Drosophila melanogaster: one gene and its partner. Changing the gene in region 1 together with any one later gene gives a genetic interaction. Each region holds a gene or a part of one and is shown on either strand. Other genes may lie near its edges.

Region 1 (10,238 bases):
AAATTGTACAAATATAAATCGAAACACTGATTTTTTCATCGCGCATTTTATGTAAAAATGGGAACTGCCACTCAGTTTATTGTTGGTTTCATCGGCGCCCTGGGCGCCTTTTGTCTAGGCGCAGTGATCGGCTGGTCAGGACCGGTGGAAAATGAAGTCAAGAATTCTAACGCGTACAACTTTACCCCTCGTCAAACGGAATGGGGCCTGGTGGGATCTCTGATGACTCTGGGTGCAGCTTTCTCGTGCATTCCGGTGGGCGTGCTCATTGGTAAGATCGGGCGGAAGACGACAATGCTAATCCTGCTGCCACCGTTCTTTATCGGATGGCTCCTGATCCTCCTGGCATCGCACATAGCAATGCTGCTGCTCGGACGCTTCGTAGTGGGATTCTGCGGAGGAGCCTTCTGCGTGACTTGTCCCATGTACGTGACTGAGATAGCCCAGGTCCAGTACCGCGGAACCATGGGATGCTTCTTCCAGCTGCTAATCGTTTTTGGTATTCTGTACGCCTTTGTGGTTGGAGGTTTTGTAAAGACCTTCTACTTTAATATTGCTTGCGCAATTTTGCCCGTAATCTTTTTTGTCTTGATGATTTTTATGCCGGAATCTCCGATTTTTCTGGCCCAAAAGGGAAAAGCCGAGAAGGCGGAGAAATCTCTTAAATTTCTGCGCGGAAAGGATGCGGATGTGAGCGGTGAGCTGAAGGAAATGAGCGCCGAGGGCCAAAAGGAGAAGGCTAGCGTTGGGAAAATCCTATGCCGCAGGATTACCCTCAAGGGGCTGTTCCTCTCCATCGGTCTCATGTTGTTCCAGCAGATGACGGGCATCAATGCGATTATTTTCTATTCTACATTCATCTTTGAGACGGCTGGATCGACCCTGGAGCCCAGAATATCTACAATTATTGTGGGCATTGTGCAGGCTATTGCCACTATCATTTCGATCCTGGTTATTGAGAAAGTCGGTCGGAAGATACTCCTATTGGTGTCCGCCTGCATGATGGGTATCAGCACCCTGATCATGGCTCTTTACTTTGGCATGTTGATGAAATCTGGAGTCGGCTGGCTGGCCCTAATTGCCGTTTGTGTTTTTATTATTGGATTCTCCCTGGGATTCGGTCCAGTTCCCTGGCTGATGATGGCCGAGCTCTTTGCCGAGGATGTAAAGGCCCTAGCAGGATCGATTGCCGGGACTACAAATTGGTGTTTTGCTTTTATCGTGACCCTTCTTTTCCCTGTTCTTAACGATATTATTGGAGCAACCGCGTGCTTTGCAATCTTCTTCGGATTTGCGGTGGCCGCCTTTGTCTTCATTCTCTTCCTAATTCCCGAGACAAAGGGAAAAACGCTTAACGAGATTCAGGCCAAGATGGGCGAGAAGGCCGAATAGTACTTGCAATCTTTTGATATCATCAGGGATTCAAGTCTATGGATCTCTGACCAAACTTTTGATAAATTTTCGTGGAATTGGAACTGAATATTTGTACCGTCAAATGCAATCAAATGCATTTAAATTTATGTCTTAACATTTTTCTACATGATGTTATTATGAATAAAATGCCACCTCTTGACATTTTAAGTGTTGTGCCGACTCACCATTTCGCGCAACGTATTCCTTGCAGATCCTTCAATCCAACTACTTGAACTACTTGGAAAGAGAAATCGACACACACTGCACTGAAATCAGAAACGAATTGCCAATTGCCAGGCTCTATATGCAAAATAGATGCGCTTTGACTTCGTATGCAATCGGAGGGTAAATAGCAAATAAGTCCAGGTAAATAGTAGAAAGCTTTCCGGCTGACAGGATGCCATTTCCCCAGCAATTTCGGGCCTGGTTGCGATTTCCCGACCAGTGCGCATGGCACACGGAACATCTGACGGGCGCTGCAGCTGGGGGTTATGTACACACGTTATGGCCAGGCCAAAAGCACAAACCAATTCCGGGAACGAACTGTTGCTCTCTCCCATCAGCAGGACCCCAATTCGAGCCACCTGTTACTCCGCCCGCCCGACAATCGGCGTGCATACGCCCCACAATCATATCCGGAGTTCCCCCTCCCAACCACTAGAAATTTGTCTTTGGCTGAAGATGGGAAAACAAAAATAAGTATTCAAAATGTATATATCATTTTGTCATTTTCAGGTATTTTAAGCTTGTCTTTAAATTTACGACATGAACAGGTCGTGTGACGTGTAGTCAAAAATGAATTGTTGTATCCATTCTCATTAATCCTTGCTAATTGTTGTCAAGGAGTATACACTAGAAAACACCAGGTACAACTAATTGATTATTTGATCAATCAAGCTTAGCATGAAAATGCCACCTCAACATTTTCTTGTACATGACGTCTGCAAGACTGATTTGGTCGTCTTACCGATGACTGTACTTTGGCCCCTCCTTCGTGTCCAATTGTCCGAATTCTCGGAACATGTGGGTAAAAAGATTTGAAGTTCGGACTTCCTTACTCTCCTGTGGTTTCCATGACTATGACGATGGCGATGCAGATGTTGCCCGGGACAGACGCTCGAGCTGCAATACAACTCCCGGTCCGGATATTATCCAGTTGCAAAGCAATTTCCCTGCCCTTTGACCAAATTCCATTCAAAATTTTTAATAAAGACCATAGTAAGCTGGAATTGCACAAATAAAGCTGAGGGATATCTTTGAATGGCTCTTCATTTGAGATTTGAATTGAAAGCATTTGAAGCATTTTGAATCGAATTATACTAAGAACGAATATTCATTATTTAGAAGATTATAATATTTTCAATTGCAACTGGTAGCAATTGATTCAATTGATGTTTCTTAAACACGCTTACACAAGCGGGTAATAGCTACATATATTTTTATTCACTTTTTAGAGTCGAACGAGTATATACAAAATAAATATGATTTTCCTCCGTCTTCTGACTAATGCAGTATGCACGATTCCGATTGAGATTAGGTTTGGAGTGACTAAGACTAGGTACTACGAACTAATGGATTCACGCTGGCGATGAATCGCATTCACGAGCAGTCGCGGGGACAAAAGCTTAAACTGGTATTCCATCTTCTGACCGGGGATAATCTCTCCAATTTACACCTTGAAGATGCCAAAGTAGCTTCGGTTGTTTCCCTCCCGCAGAACTGCATTGCGATCGTTGTGAATGTCCTTCAGATGGATCCTCTCGTTTCGTTCCAGGTGGATCAGACCACTCGTGTGGCAGGTGTGCACCTTATGTGGCATGTTGGTGGGCACCGTGTTCAAGCACTGCAGGAATGGAGTGTCTCCTTGAAAGACGATAAATCCGTTCTGGTCGTGCGAGTTGTTGTAGCATATCTGGGCGTATACGTAATATAGGCCTGTATTGGTCACCGTCAAGACGCCATCGCGCGTTTGAAAGTGTCCCTGATAAGAGTTTCTCTCGTTATCATTTCCTATGTACATATCTCCATGGTAGCCTGAGAAATTCAAGAAGTGACTTCATTAGGTTGCCTGTAGTACTTGTATGTACACGCTTGACGCGGAAGCATCTCCTTACCCATACTTCCTTGGTGACGCCGCCTGCTGCTCAAGTGGAAATGGGCTGCTGGCCTCGAGTCCTCGGATCTGGCTGAAAGAAGAGATTCACCTGCAAATTAACAGAGGTGCGAATAGAGATTTGGTATTCGATTTTTGCCAATTGTTTCGCTTTTCTACACTACACACCTTTGCGGACTAGGAGGTGGCGATGGCGGGAATGCATTCTGCGACGGTGGTGAAGTGGTGCAGGGCTTCAAGTAAAAAGAAAATGTATACATATGTGTTTCAGTTACGCAGTTAACTATCTATCTTTAACCCATAGCATATAACTTCATTAATGGTTTTTCTTGCCTGTTTTCAACGGAACGTTCTACTTACCTCTCTTTGGAAGTTGCCTCATTGGATGACTTTTCCTGAAGCTCTGTGTGATTTCCTTGAATATTCTGCTCCTCATTGCGTACATCGGCAATCGAGCGAGATTTTCTGTGAAGAGGAAAAGCAGAGGCTTAATACGATAAATCCCTGAAAATTTCATCCGTGCTCACCTCTCCTGCTTCTTTTTGTGGGCATTGTAGCTGGTAAAGTCATCGAACACATTGTCATCATTTGAGGCTGAGGATGCACTGTCCGTCTCGCCCTCGCCCTCAGCAGTGGTCTCAGATGTGGGCGTGGTGCCGGTATGTGCATTGTTGAGTTTATTTAACATATCGGTGTAGTCCTCGTAGTCTGCGCCAACATCATCCACAGAGCTATAGCTAACGTCGTCGTCCTCGTCGTCCGCAATGGAATCCAGACCATCGCCATCGTCGTCGTCCTCCTCATCCGTGAGGCCATCCACCTTTTTTGGATAGTCGATGAGGGCATTCTCGTACTGCAACGAAGGGATGGGCATCAGCATTTTGGGTCAGAAGACTTGGCCAAGTACGTGACTGCAGCTGGCACAGTCCTGGCACATATCTCACATCCATTTGGGACGTTCATTTTTAGACACACGCCCGCAGCACAGGCTGTTTCGTCATCATCCTAATTGATGGCGCCTCGCTCAAAAACATGATACTCGTATACATATACTTGTGTACATCATACATATATTTAAAAGCGAAGGAAACTCTCAAGAGAATTGGCACCACAGATGCCCAGCCATCAAAATATAAATAAATCTTAAAATCTTAAAACCATCTCTGGCCATTAGGCCATTTGATGAGATTCGATCAATCGTCACATACAGCCAAAAGCGATCGCTCGCCTTGAACGACTATATCTACTGATAGAGCCTAGTATTTTTGTTGAATTATTGGGGCTTTTACCTTTTGTCACTTGGGGATTTGTATCTCATAAATTACGTGAACTGGCTGGCGCCTCATATTTGAAATGAGTGTTTCCTTGCGGAAAGAGACATTATAATTCAAATAATCTATCACAATTTTCTATGTGCCTTTGGCCAAGCAGCTAACAAAAAAAAATGAAACAAATAACAGATGAAACAGCGTCGAAATTATATTTTAGCACATAATTCTATAAATATTTTTGTATGTCCCACACAATAACCACATATTACGTCTGGTCATTTTTTTGAGGCATTCTTTTTCAAAAACAGGCGCATGGCTTACCGACTGTGAGATACCCTAGCCAGAGTTTGCCATCATAAAATGCAAATTACCCTTTAGGCAAAAAGAAAACTAAACATAATAGATACTCAATAACAAAAGTTCGATATACCCTCATTAAAAACTCAAGTACCAGCCTCAAGGAATAACAATCATTTCCGACTTTGTAAACAATTCGAGGTATCTGTATTTGCCCGGGGCAAATGTTACAGCCCCTGCCCCATCGCCGAGTACAAATATTGATGCTCGAAAGTGATTTACGCAATTGCTCACCTCCTTTTGGAACTCGTCGAACTCGTCCAGATAGTTTATGCCCAAACGCTGCTGGAGATTATCGACGACTCGCTTCAGGCTCTTCAGCTCCTTGTCCAGATGCGATACACGCGTTGTCTGCCAGATCTGCAAGATAAGATAATTCAATTGTTACACACTCATTCAGGCTCGTTTCTAATCATCCGCTCATTAGCAATTGGGCAATCAATTTAACGTAGCCCCAATTAAACATCTATAGCTGGTGCTAAGGCCCGGCACATCATATAACACCCAGTGCCGCGAACTTTTGACACCCGAAAAATATATAAAAACTAACTGAACAAACTGATAGAGGCGAGACGAGAAAGATTTCGTGGGGAAATACGGCGGGGTACGTACGATCGCCACTCAGCCACATAATCTGCTTAATGGATCATTAACATTCGGGCCGAGCAGAGGCCTTATATACGGACACTTCTCAAGTCTCGACTGGCAGCCGAAATCGAAAAGAATGGCTCAACTTAAGCCACTGTACGCGCAGACGGGGAAATATACACATGTACATACATGTAGGTACACACAACAACTTGTACTGAATTCTTGTATAAATTATGGACTTTACGCAGACCCAAGAAACTTGTTTAAGTTTCCAGTGAACCACTTTCCATTAGAGCTTATCGGCGATCAGTAGATCGATCGCAGCGCCTGCAGTTTGTCACTTTCTTAGAGGGCCCCAAATGATGAGGGTTACTTTGTACGAATGTCAGTGAAATTGAATTAAACAACGAAAAATGCTTCATGGCTTAACGGAGATTTATGAGGAAAACCGAACTTGAGGCCCACGTCAGTGGCTGAAGCCAATCATTTACAAGTCAATTGTCAATTGTACGATTTCCGTTCACTTAAGCCAAAGTTGAGTGGGTCATGGAGGAGTCCTGGGTGAGGGGGGGGGAAATGGGGGTGGGAGAGAAGGACCAGATTCAAGTCCACAAACTTAATCTTCTGCAATTCAAATCCGGATTTCAGCGAGCACACTCATTCGCAAAGTTATCAGGGAAAAACATGACACAACAACCCAGTCGAAGATTTATCGAATGCATAACAGAACGGACTCAGTGGCATTTAAATCGGTTGAACAAAAACAAAAGGGAAGAACAGACATGTACCGATAAACATTTCTCTAGCATCTGCATCCGCTTTATTTGGATTAGCTGGATCATTAGGAACCGATTTGGCCTAAAGACGTGTCGGTGATGACATCGCTTGATCAGCCAAGAAACCGCCGTTTTTCCCGCTCTAAATATAGTTTCATGCCAAATTATAGTTAACCTATCTGCGACGGTCACGGATCATAAAGTCTGTTTTCATTTCAATTTATGCATCCGCGGAATTTCGTCTTTAATTTGGCATCAACAAAGACTTTGTGACAAACAGCTTTATAAGCCGAAGCGTGCCAAAGGTTAAATATTCATTTTTAGATTGCGATTTCGGGGGTGTCTATACACATACGTTGTTAAAGTCCAATTTGCATTTATATTTATTCGCATTTTATTTTGGCAAGCTACTGAAATAAACATTTCCGAAAAATAGGAGTCTGTTCAGAGTCTAGAAGGCGGTTCATGGCTGAATGGAATCTCTCTGTTTTTATGCTTTCATTACTTTATTGGTGCAATCTGTTTTCCAGATAAAACTAACTGTCGTTGTGATGGTTTTTGGAGAGATAACTAAGCAAAATTATAAATTAAACTACCAAAATAAAACACTAAAAACACAATAAAACACAAATTCTACAAAAGTCTAGTTTAAGAATCAGTGTAATACCTTTACACTCGTTTCGAAACAGTCATTAAAACGGCCATATAATCATGATTGGCCCACTTTGGCGCCCAAAATATCATTAAACAACATAGCCCATAACAACTCATTCCTATCTATATTCTGGGGAAACTCCCACCAATAACTGATATACCCACACCTTTGGAATTCCGACGAATCATTAATCGCACACAACAAACAAAAAAAAAGGCATTCAAGTATGGAATAGCTATTTCAATTTGGAGGTGACTACTTTAATCTTTTTCAAATTATATTCATTAACTAAATCTATTCAGCACATTTGACGATTTTAGTGTGCTAAAAAACATTAAAAACATAAAATGCGACTGAAGAGATTGTACGACGCTCAAACACACATAAAATATGTTATACTATTTATTTATTTGTAATTATTTCAATACTAAGTATGATTTGTGCCACCTTAATTAAACATCTTTAAGCATGGTTTGTTATCTTAAGTAGGCAGATAGAGACGCAATGTTATCAATTAATAGCATCTTAATGAAAATTTTGTAGTACGATTTCATTCAGTTCAGAGTCTAATTGGTGTGTTTAGAATCGCGATAGTCGATCCAAATGGGCAATAATACCTGATTGGGCTGCTATTGGGTAAATGATTGTGAAGGAAAACTTACCGTTAGTGCGAGAATGGCAACGACCAGCCCCAGACCGATGAACCCCAAAACCAGGGGGATCAGCTGGCGGGTGCGTCGCTGGGCGGTCGCCGTGCTGGTCGCTTTGGCCGGAAAACCATCATCGTTGGCACTCGTTGGCGTTATAAACGGCTTGAGGGTCTCGGCAGTCATAATTGATGAACACTGGGGATCTTAGAGCAACCGGGGCCTCCAGATGCTGATGCTGATTCTGTTGATAATGACGACGATGATGATGATGACGATCTTGCCCACCCACTCAAGGGCACTCGACAGCTGTTTCCAATCGAGCTTTGTCGCACTTTATATGAACACACTCTATGTATTTAAGATACTACACGAGCACACAGAACAACCTCACAGACAGCATGAGATGATAAGCTGCGACATCTATATAGATAAACCCCTCGGGCTGCTGATGGTGCCCTTTTCAGATTGTATTACCACACTTGTTTTGTCTACTGCTTGTTTTTCTCTTCCGCGATCGGCAATTAGCAAAAGAAAAGCGCGAAAACAAGTTTCTCAAGATATTTTCTAGTTTTATCAGTTCTTGTTTGCGATAAAGGCACAGCGAAAACCAAAAAAAAAAAAAAAAACACAACACACAGTGGACGAGTTGCACTTATGTATTTTTAGTAATTTGCCCGATGGCGAAATTCAATCTTGGTAAGTAGTTAACTGAAACGGATAGCTTTTTTTCTTCGCTATCATGCACGCACGCGCTTGCTTGGGATCTCTGATTTACCGGTTTCTTTTCTCACTTTAAACGTCCGTTCGCGTCGACGATTCGAAAGAGAATGAATTTGAACTGAGAACGGGAGCGTGAACTGAGGGAAAACGAACCGAGCGGCACTTGATTTCTCACGTTCGAGCAGGCAGGCGAGCAAGAGGGACAACGGATTGGCACCGTCTCCCTCGCTCACGTGGCGAGGATGCGCGGCATACTTAAGGGCGCCTGCGCTGTTTACTTTGTGTAATTAATTTTTGGCAAGGTTCTCCCGGGGTGGTGTTTTGGTGATACAGTGGGCTCTGGCTAACAGGAATTAAATTAATTATTATATTTCTACAATTTTACATGTACATATGTATATGTAGATACGATTTTTATTTATTATAACAAATTATTTGTATGAAACTCATAATCATGGTGTGCATAAGAAATATTTACAAAAATATGATTTATAATATGATATAACACTAAATAATAGTTCATATAGTCTAAAGTTGTTAACAATTTAACAATGTTATCATAATTTCAATATCAAATTGAAATGCTCAAATAACGAACTTTAATAACATTTATCAAAAGAGAAGAAAATAGTGTATCTAATTTAGAATATTGGATGCCATATTGAAGACCATCTCATCGTTGTTTTTAGCCAAGACAGACTGTACTTGGTTCCGATTTCCCTTGCACATATGGCGATCATAAGTAGCAAAGCGTGTTTGACTTTTTGCGCAGTGTTTTCCACTGCTTTTATTTCTTTTTATGTGTTATGTGCACTTAAAACCTCCCCCTGTGATTTATAGGGGTTGCTCGATTGCTTTTTGAAATCGGCACCACTGTAAGCGGCTTGGCTTCGCATCCCCGGGTTTTCGCTTCATTTTCTTTGTGTGGCTGCTTTGTTCGAGCTCCCTTCATGACACTGACATGGAACAGATCCCCGATCTTCGATTCCCGAGCCGCAGCTAATTGAGTTCCGAAAAGTGGCGGATCGTTGACAAACCCATAGATAAGCCAAATGAACTTTTAGCATTTCATTAAAATCGTATTTATTATTACTTAGACCGACGATCGGGGTCTGTCAGCGCCGTGCCTAAGTACGGGTTCTAATTACGGGTAGCGGGGTAGCCATAAACCTAATGCTGATCCGATCCGATCAGCCACCGTCGCGACAACTAGTCTGCCGAACCGGCTGCCAAACAGACCCGTATCGTAAATCCGCCCAAGAGTGTCGTCATTCGGCAGAGATGCAAATGTCGGCGTTGGTCAGCTAATTAGTTTCTAATCGTCTGCGACAAACAGGTAACCACAGGTAGAACTGCTCAGGCCGTAAGAGCGGGGATCGGATGGCACACGCTTCCGGTGCACTTCTTAACCCATTAGTCGTTATCTGTTTTCGCATTGTGCAAGACCACATTTTTATTTATAATTTTCAATGTTCGGAAATGGTAAATCAATGATTTAAAATTATATACATATACATATGTATGTACATTTGTATATACAATAGTTTTTGAAAAGCTTCTATTACTTTTTTGTGTTTTGTATCTTACTTTTTTGTATTACATCATTTGTTTTATATAAATTCAGTTGTGAAAAGCTTAATTAATTATGGAATAAATCGGACGAATTGTTTCAATCTAAGCTCTGAGACCTTT
Region 2 (6,005 bases), on another chromosome or scaffold:
TAAAACTTAAATGAAATGTAACAATTACAGAGGACGCAACTCAACAAAAAAAAGCTGCATATGTATTTGCAAGGGAAAAATAAAAAAATCGAAAACAAAACCAGAAGGAAACCAAAAATCACGGTCAATGTAAAGGCGAAGCCGTAATACCAACGAAAAGCGAAAAAATAAAGCAGACAACGAGAGAAACAGAAAAAAGCAATGCAAAGTATGTAAAATATAAAAAGCCGCCTGTACGTATAAATCAGCTTGGCAACAGGCCAAGCAAATCGAGATGGAAATGACGATGATGAAAAGCGGAGGCAAACCTCCTCCCATCCAACCCTCCTCCTATTTTCCCACCCCCTTTGTGATGCTGTGCAGAAAAAAGAGGAGTTCAAAACTTGCGGTTAATCGGAGTTTTTGCGCTCCCTCTCTTTCTCCAGGCGTAGGCTTCATCTCGCTCTATCTGCGCAGCAGTCAGCTGTGTTTTGTTGCCAGGCAGGATGCGGCAGGAGTCGCCATTTTTGCCGCCATTATGGCTCCTCTTTTCTACTAAAGTCCACCTACACGAAGTTGCCGAGCAAAACAAAATGGTTGAAAATGTCAAGTGCGGCAGAGACGCCGGCAGCGAAAAACAACGCCTAGCAGCAGAACAGCTGTTGGCAACAGCAAAGCGAATGATGCGAATTTGCAAGCCAAAGCAGAGCGACCAAAACTTGGAGTTGAGTACGGTGGGGAACATTTTTGTACTCTGCACTGTACCTACATAGGTACATATTATTATCTATGATAACAAAAATCTATGTTAATAACTAAATGTTGAACCAAAAAAGTAATAGTCCATAATAGTTTACATAATAACCGCTAGGTTTACGCATCTTTTAATCTGCATCCAATTAGCCAACAGATAAAATGTACCTGTTCCCATCACTGATTAGGGAACCGCTGCTGTCATTGCACCTTTTGTTGGTCGCCATTGGGAATGGGTTACGTGGTGGGCTCTGGATGCTGTATGCATAATCCTCTCCCAAAACAAAAGGCTCCCTGCCGCATTTTTTTTTTTGCTTTTGGTAGGGAAAAGCTCTGTTGGTATTTAGGAATTTTTGTCGGGGTTGTTTGCGCCTCGCATTTTTAGGCTTTTAGGGTTGATAGCTGGCTGATGACTAAGCGCGTTTCTGGCTAAAAGTATTCCGTGAATCTGGCTTGCATGTATGTGTGTATGTATGGCATAGCTGGGGGAACCAGGAAAAAGGGTTCTCGCTTCTTGGTTAACTACAGTTTATCCCTTTCTTGTTTCAAGGGCTTCAAGCATTGTTCACTAGTTTCGGGATGTGTCACGATTAGATAAATTATCCTCTTGAGTGGCTAACTAAAGTACATGATCGGCGTGCGTTGAGTAGGGGCTTAGATGTGGTTCGGGAAAATGAGATAAGGGAAAATTACTTTTAAATCGAAACTTTCACGATAACGTCAAGTCTTTTTAGCTCGTTTTTCAAAATAAATGCCCCGCAATCGAATTTTCACTGGGCATCAGCTCTCGTAAGCGAAAAAAAAGTATCTCTGTATAAATTATGATATTATAGACGAAAACAGATTGAAGCGCCCAAAAGTGACTCACTGTAATTTCGAGAAGGGAACGCTTTTTTTTCGTCTGACCAACTGTTGCTGACAGCAAAAAAGGTAACAAACCAAATAAAACAGCAAAATAATATAAAGTAACAATTCGGTTGTTCGGTGGAACCAAAGAGCGCAGCTGGCAATCATCGACAGCGACAAAATCTATTATGCAAAGGCAACACAAAATTAAGGAACGCGAATGAAAAACCGCAAAGCAAACATGAAAAGCGCGCGCGCAAAAAAAAGAAAAACAATAAAAACTGACCGCACTCAACGTGGCCGAGCACAAAAGCTACTTAAACAACCGTTAAGTCAAACACTTTGCAAATGGCCCACACCCTCAACCCGTTTGGCCCCCTTTTGGAAAATCGGAAAACTAGTTGCCTAAGGTCAAATGGCGTTTAATAATTTGGGTTAGTCGAGTGGTAAGATATACGAGCAGTACGCTCGAGATAGATAGATATCTTGCAGATACCCAGACACACAGGCACACCACACTCACTCAAAAGTCTCAAAAGTAAGACATTCGACTCGAGTTTGGCGCGTGCCAATTAAACGTGCTTAGCTCTGTGCTCCCAGCTCTGTTTTATTGCCGCTGGGTTATGTTTCCCTGGTTTCAGCCAGGTCTTTATTTTCTTGCTGGTCCAGCACACGCCCAATTTTTTGACCATATTTACGAACAATATCGCATGACAGCCAACTCGGCAGTTGTCTTGCATGTGTCTCGGCGTTTCTTTCTTAAAGCCATAGCACACTAAAAGTTTTATCAGCCTAGTTTAGATAATCATGACCGAAGGAAATTGATCTTAATGTGATTTATCGAGCTAGTTATCACCATTTCTACTTTATTTTCATTTATTTATAACATAAGTAGATTTTTGTCTCAATACAAAATTTTTTAATTTGTAAGATTCCCACTTTGGGAATTTGATCCAGTAATTCCCCACATGATTTTGAGTTTTTGCAGTTTTGTGACTTCGTTTATTAAGTTTGCTCTCTCCTCCAATCGAAACTTCTCAATTACTTCTCAATTTTCCCCTTTTTGAACTTGTTCGATTAATTTTTATTGAATTACCGTTTTTTCGGCTTCCTTTCGAATGTGGCCGAGAAATTTGCCTTCCGCTCTGCCTTTTACACTTTTTTTTTTGCTGATAAGCTGACAAAGTGCTGAATTGACCATATATAAAATAAAAAAAAAACTGGGTAAAAGTAAACAAAAACAACCTGGATGCAGTTGACGCAGTTACTCGAAACTGGATGAATCAACAACCTTGAAAAGTGAAACTTGCACAAGGGGAACTGAAGCAGTTAACAAATAACGTCACAACTTGGCTAATTGCTGACCCATTTTAAAATGAGGGAAACCCTCCGGCTGTCCAGAAACTTTCTTAAACTAAACTAAATGATATTAAAAGCGGTAATCAAAAATATGAAACCTTTAAAGTCGCTTGTATAGAAAAAAATTGTTCGCCATTTTTTATTGATCAAATCTATTAGTTTGAAAATATCTTCAAACATTTAAAATGCTGTTTTTTCGAAAGAAATAAATTTACTATTCTTTAAGCAATTTCAAGTTAATAACATTTTTTGTTTACTTTTACAAGGAGATCCTATGAAAATCCTTCTTGTTAATAGCAAAACAAGTGGGCTTAAATAAAGTGTTGGTTATAAGCATTTTAGAAAATATATTACCAACATGCGTAAGCAGTTATTCTGTGTGGGAACTTCTTAAACATTTCGCAATTAATAACCGTATATGAATCGAAACTTATTTTTGTATCTGCAAATGTATTTGAGGTAAACTAAATGGATATCCTGATTAACCCACACAATTTCAAAGTTCTTAAGAGTGGAGAATTGAGATCTTTGTAGACTTACCACTCTGCTGGCTCTGGTACATCCTGACCCACTCGTAGAGGGCGTATAGCACTTGGTCGGTGGGCAGTGGAGACTGCATCGGCGTCTGCGTGGCCGACGAGGTGGTGGTGTTCGGCGATTGCGAGGCGGCGCTGCTGGCGCCGTCCGACGATGCGGAGGACGAAGATGAGGCCGAGGAGGCGGAGGCCGAGGACACGCCCGAGGAGGAGACGGACGAGGATGCGCTCGAGGGAAGTGGGTGGTTGTGGGGGGAGGAGTTGCCCGAGGCTCCCGATGAACTCGACGCTACGTCATCGGCGCCGCCCTCGGGCAAATAAAAGGGCACGGCCATTGTGTGGGTGTGTGTGTGTGCTGGCTTCCTTTTTGTCCTTATCCGCTTCCTTCCTTCCTGCACTTTGTTGGCACTTTGCTCTTCTTGTGATTGTTCTTCGCTGCTTTGTTTTGCTTTTTATTTTGTGTACAACTTTTGGTTAGAGTTCACTTTAATTGATTTTGTATTTCTTGTGCAAGATTTTGAATATTAGAAACTTTTTCATTTTTCGTGCAGTTTTTTCTTATGATTTGTTTTTTATCTTTCCTGATTTGTCAAACAACACTCAAGTCAAGTTTTTGCTCGGTTAGTTAGTTTTTCGGATTCTTCTGCGTTTTTCATCAACCCTTTTCGTGTTTAGAACTGATTTAAAAACACAAAACTGTTCACGATGGATTTCGTTTTTTATTTTTTGTTATTTTTTTATTCTTTGCTTTTGCTGTTGTCAATTATGGAAGAGCACTTAAAACGTGTCGCAGACTCAAAGAAAGAGGGCAGGAAACACGTCTTACTGGCTCCGCGGCTAAAAATGAACTGTTCGCACTGGGGCCTCAAACTACGGCAACAGAGCCTCTACCGCGACGTCGGCAGAGCGGCAGCGTAGGCGCGCAGCCAGTGCAATCGCAATCTCTCTCGCTCCCTCTCCTGCACATGCACGTGCATGAAGGAGGCACACTTGAGAGAAAAAAAATATTTTAAAAAATCCCGCTCTTTACCTACCCTGTAATAGCTGAGTGAGGAAGAGTATACTCGGACCATGAATTGCGTCTACATAAATGCATCAAGGAGCATAGTTAACATATCTAGATTTTAAGGTTGTAAAAATTTAATTGATTGGCTTTCGCATACTGAAAAAACTGAAATATTGTACCAGCGCACTAATTGCTGAAGTAACACTATTTTATAACTCATATTTACTTACAACATAAAGTACATATTTAGATGCACAAACAATGTGAAGGGTATGTCTCAGTTGGTACTCTTACAAAACGTTCTTTCTCGTTTCAACTAAGAGTGTGTGGGCAGGCTGTGTACGCGTGTATGTGTGGGTACACAAAGATCTTGTCGAGCAGGTAAATTCAGAAGAAGAAGAAAACTCATCAGAAGTAGCGAAGAGGCAGTATATCCGACTGCGCTGCCTAGCGAACGCTAAAGCAAAACAAAAACTGCAATTGTACAACACTCTTTGCTTGTGGTTTTCGTTATTGCACTTTGCTCTTGCTTTCGGTTTTGATTTGTATTTGTTTAAACAAGAGAGCGGAGGGAGAGCAAGCGTTCTTAAGAGGCCAAAAAACCGGAGTAGAAAGAGTATGATAAATGGGAGTATATTCTATGAGCGGATTAAATGAGTTAAAAAGGTAGTAGAAAAAAGGGAGTTTTTAGACAAAGCTTGATTACTTTCTCACATTTTAAAATATTTTGAGAAGGGAAGTTCACAATTTTATAATGTTCAATACTTTTTTTTTGAATATAAATTTGAAAAATAGCAACATGATTAACAAAGGATCCAACTTGCTTAGCTCAGGTTTTACTGGCTAAATGAATGTACATATGTATGTATGTATGTACATTTATGCAGAGAATGATTAGCTAGTTTATTGTATTTAATAAAATAAATTAAATTGTTTTATATTTTGGGTATTCAAGCAATGTAATAAAGACTATTTAGTTGGCGTTCATTCACATTAAACATTTCAAACGTGTTTTTGAATATACGATAAGGAGTTTAGCTAATTACATTTCCGATTTGGATGTTGGCTATATTTAATCAATTTCACCATATATCAAAAATTGACTGTGCAACATGAAAAACCTGTTTTCGCTCTTACTCTTGTCTTCCTCTGCATCTTCCCCTCTCCCTCCCACACATTATACAAACAGGCTTTTTCCTCTCCTTTTCTCTCTCTCTCTCTCTCTCTCTATTTCCTTCTCTGTCATTCCCAACTTTGCGCGCGAAAACGCTTGAAAAAAATTACGAAATACGCGTAAAACAATTCTTGGCTTTTAATTTAAATTTTACGGCAAATAATTCTCGTAACTGGCATTACTTTAGATCCATTTATTAGCTTTGTATCTATGTAGCTCTAGTAGCTCTCTTAATAATGTGGTATTATAAAATGTTCGCAATATAATTTAAAACAAATTAGATTCTAGACCTAAAACTAGTTTAATAGCCCATATTTCAAAATAAAAGAGGCCCGTCGAAAATTCTGAAGAA

Evidence for each region. A genetic interaction does not mean that the proteins touch.
Region 2: of egr (region 1) and hid, changing one suppresses a phenotype caused by changing the other (phenotypic suppression), as found in Drosophila melanogaster (2 studies listed by BioGRID).

The regions. Positions count from the first base shown.
Region 1 is NT_033778.4:10,076,783-10,087,020, reverse strand, and holds egr (eiger), read right to left. Parts: upstream 8,656-10,238; 5' UTR 8,010-8,655; coding exon 7,839-8,009; intron 6,409-7,838; exon of another isoform or gene 6,327-6,408; intron 6,234-6,326; exon of another isoform or gene 6,097-6,233; intron 5,834-6,096; exon of another isoform or gene 5,696-5,833; intron 5,515-5,695; coding exon 5,389-5,514; intron 4,769-5,388; exon of another isoform or gene 4,699-4,768; intron 4,380-4,698; coding exon 4,054-4,379; intron 3,992-4,053; coding exon 3,887-3,991; intron 3,760-3,886; coding exon 3,695-3,759; intron 3,618-3,694; coding exon 3,528-3,617; intron 3,448-3,527; coding exon 3,083-3,447; 3' UTR 2,811-3,082; downstream 1-2,810. Other genes in the region: sut4 (sugar transporter 4), read left to right, coding at 58-1,392.
Region 2 is NT_037436.4:18,181,315-18,187,319, forward strand, and holds the start of hid (head involution defective), read right to left. Parts: upstream 4,328-6,005; 5' UTR 3,809-4,327; coding exon 3,478-3,808; intron 1-3,477.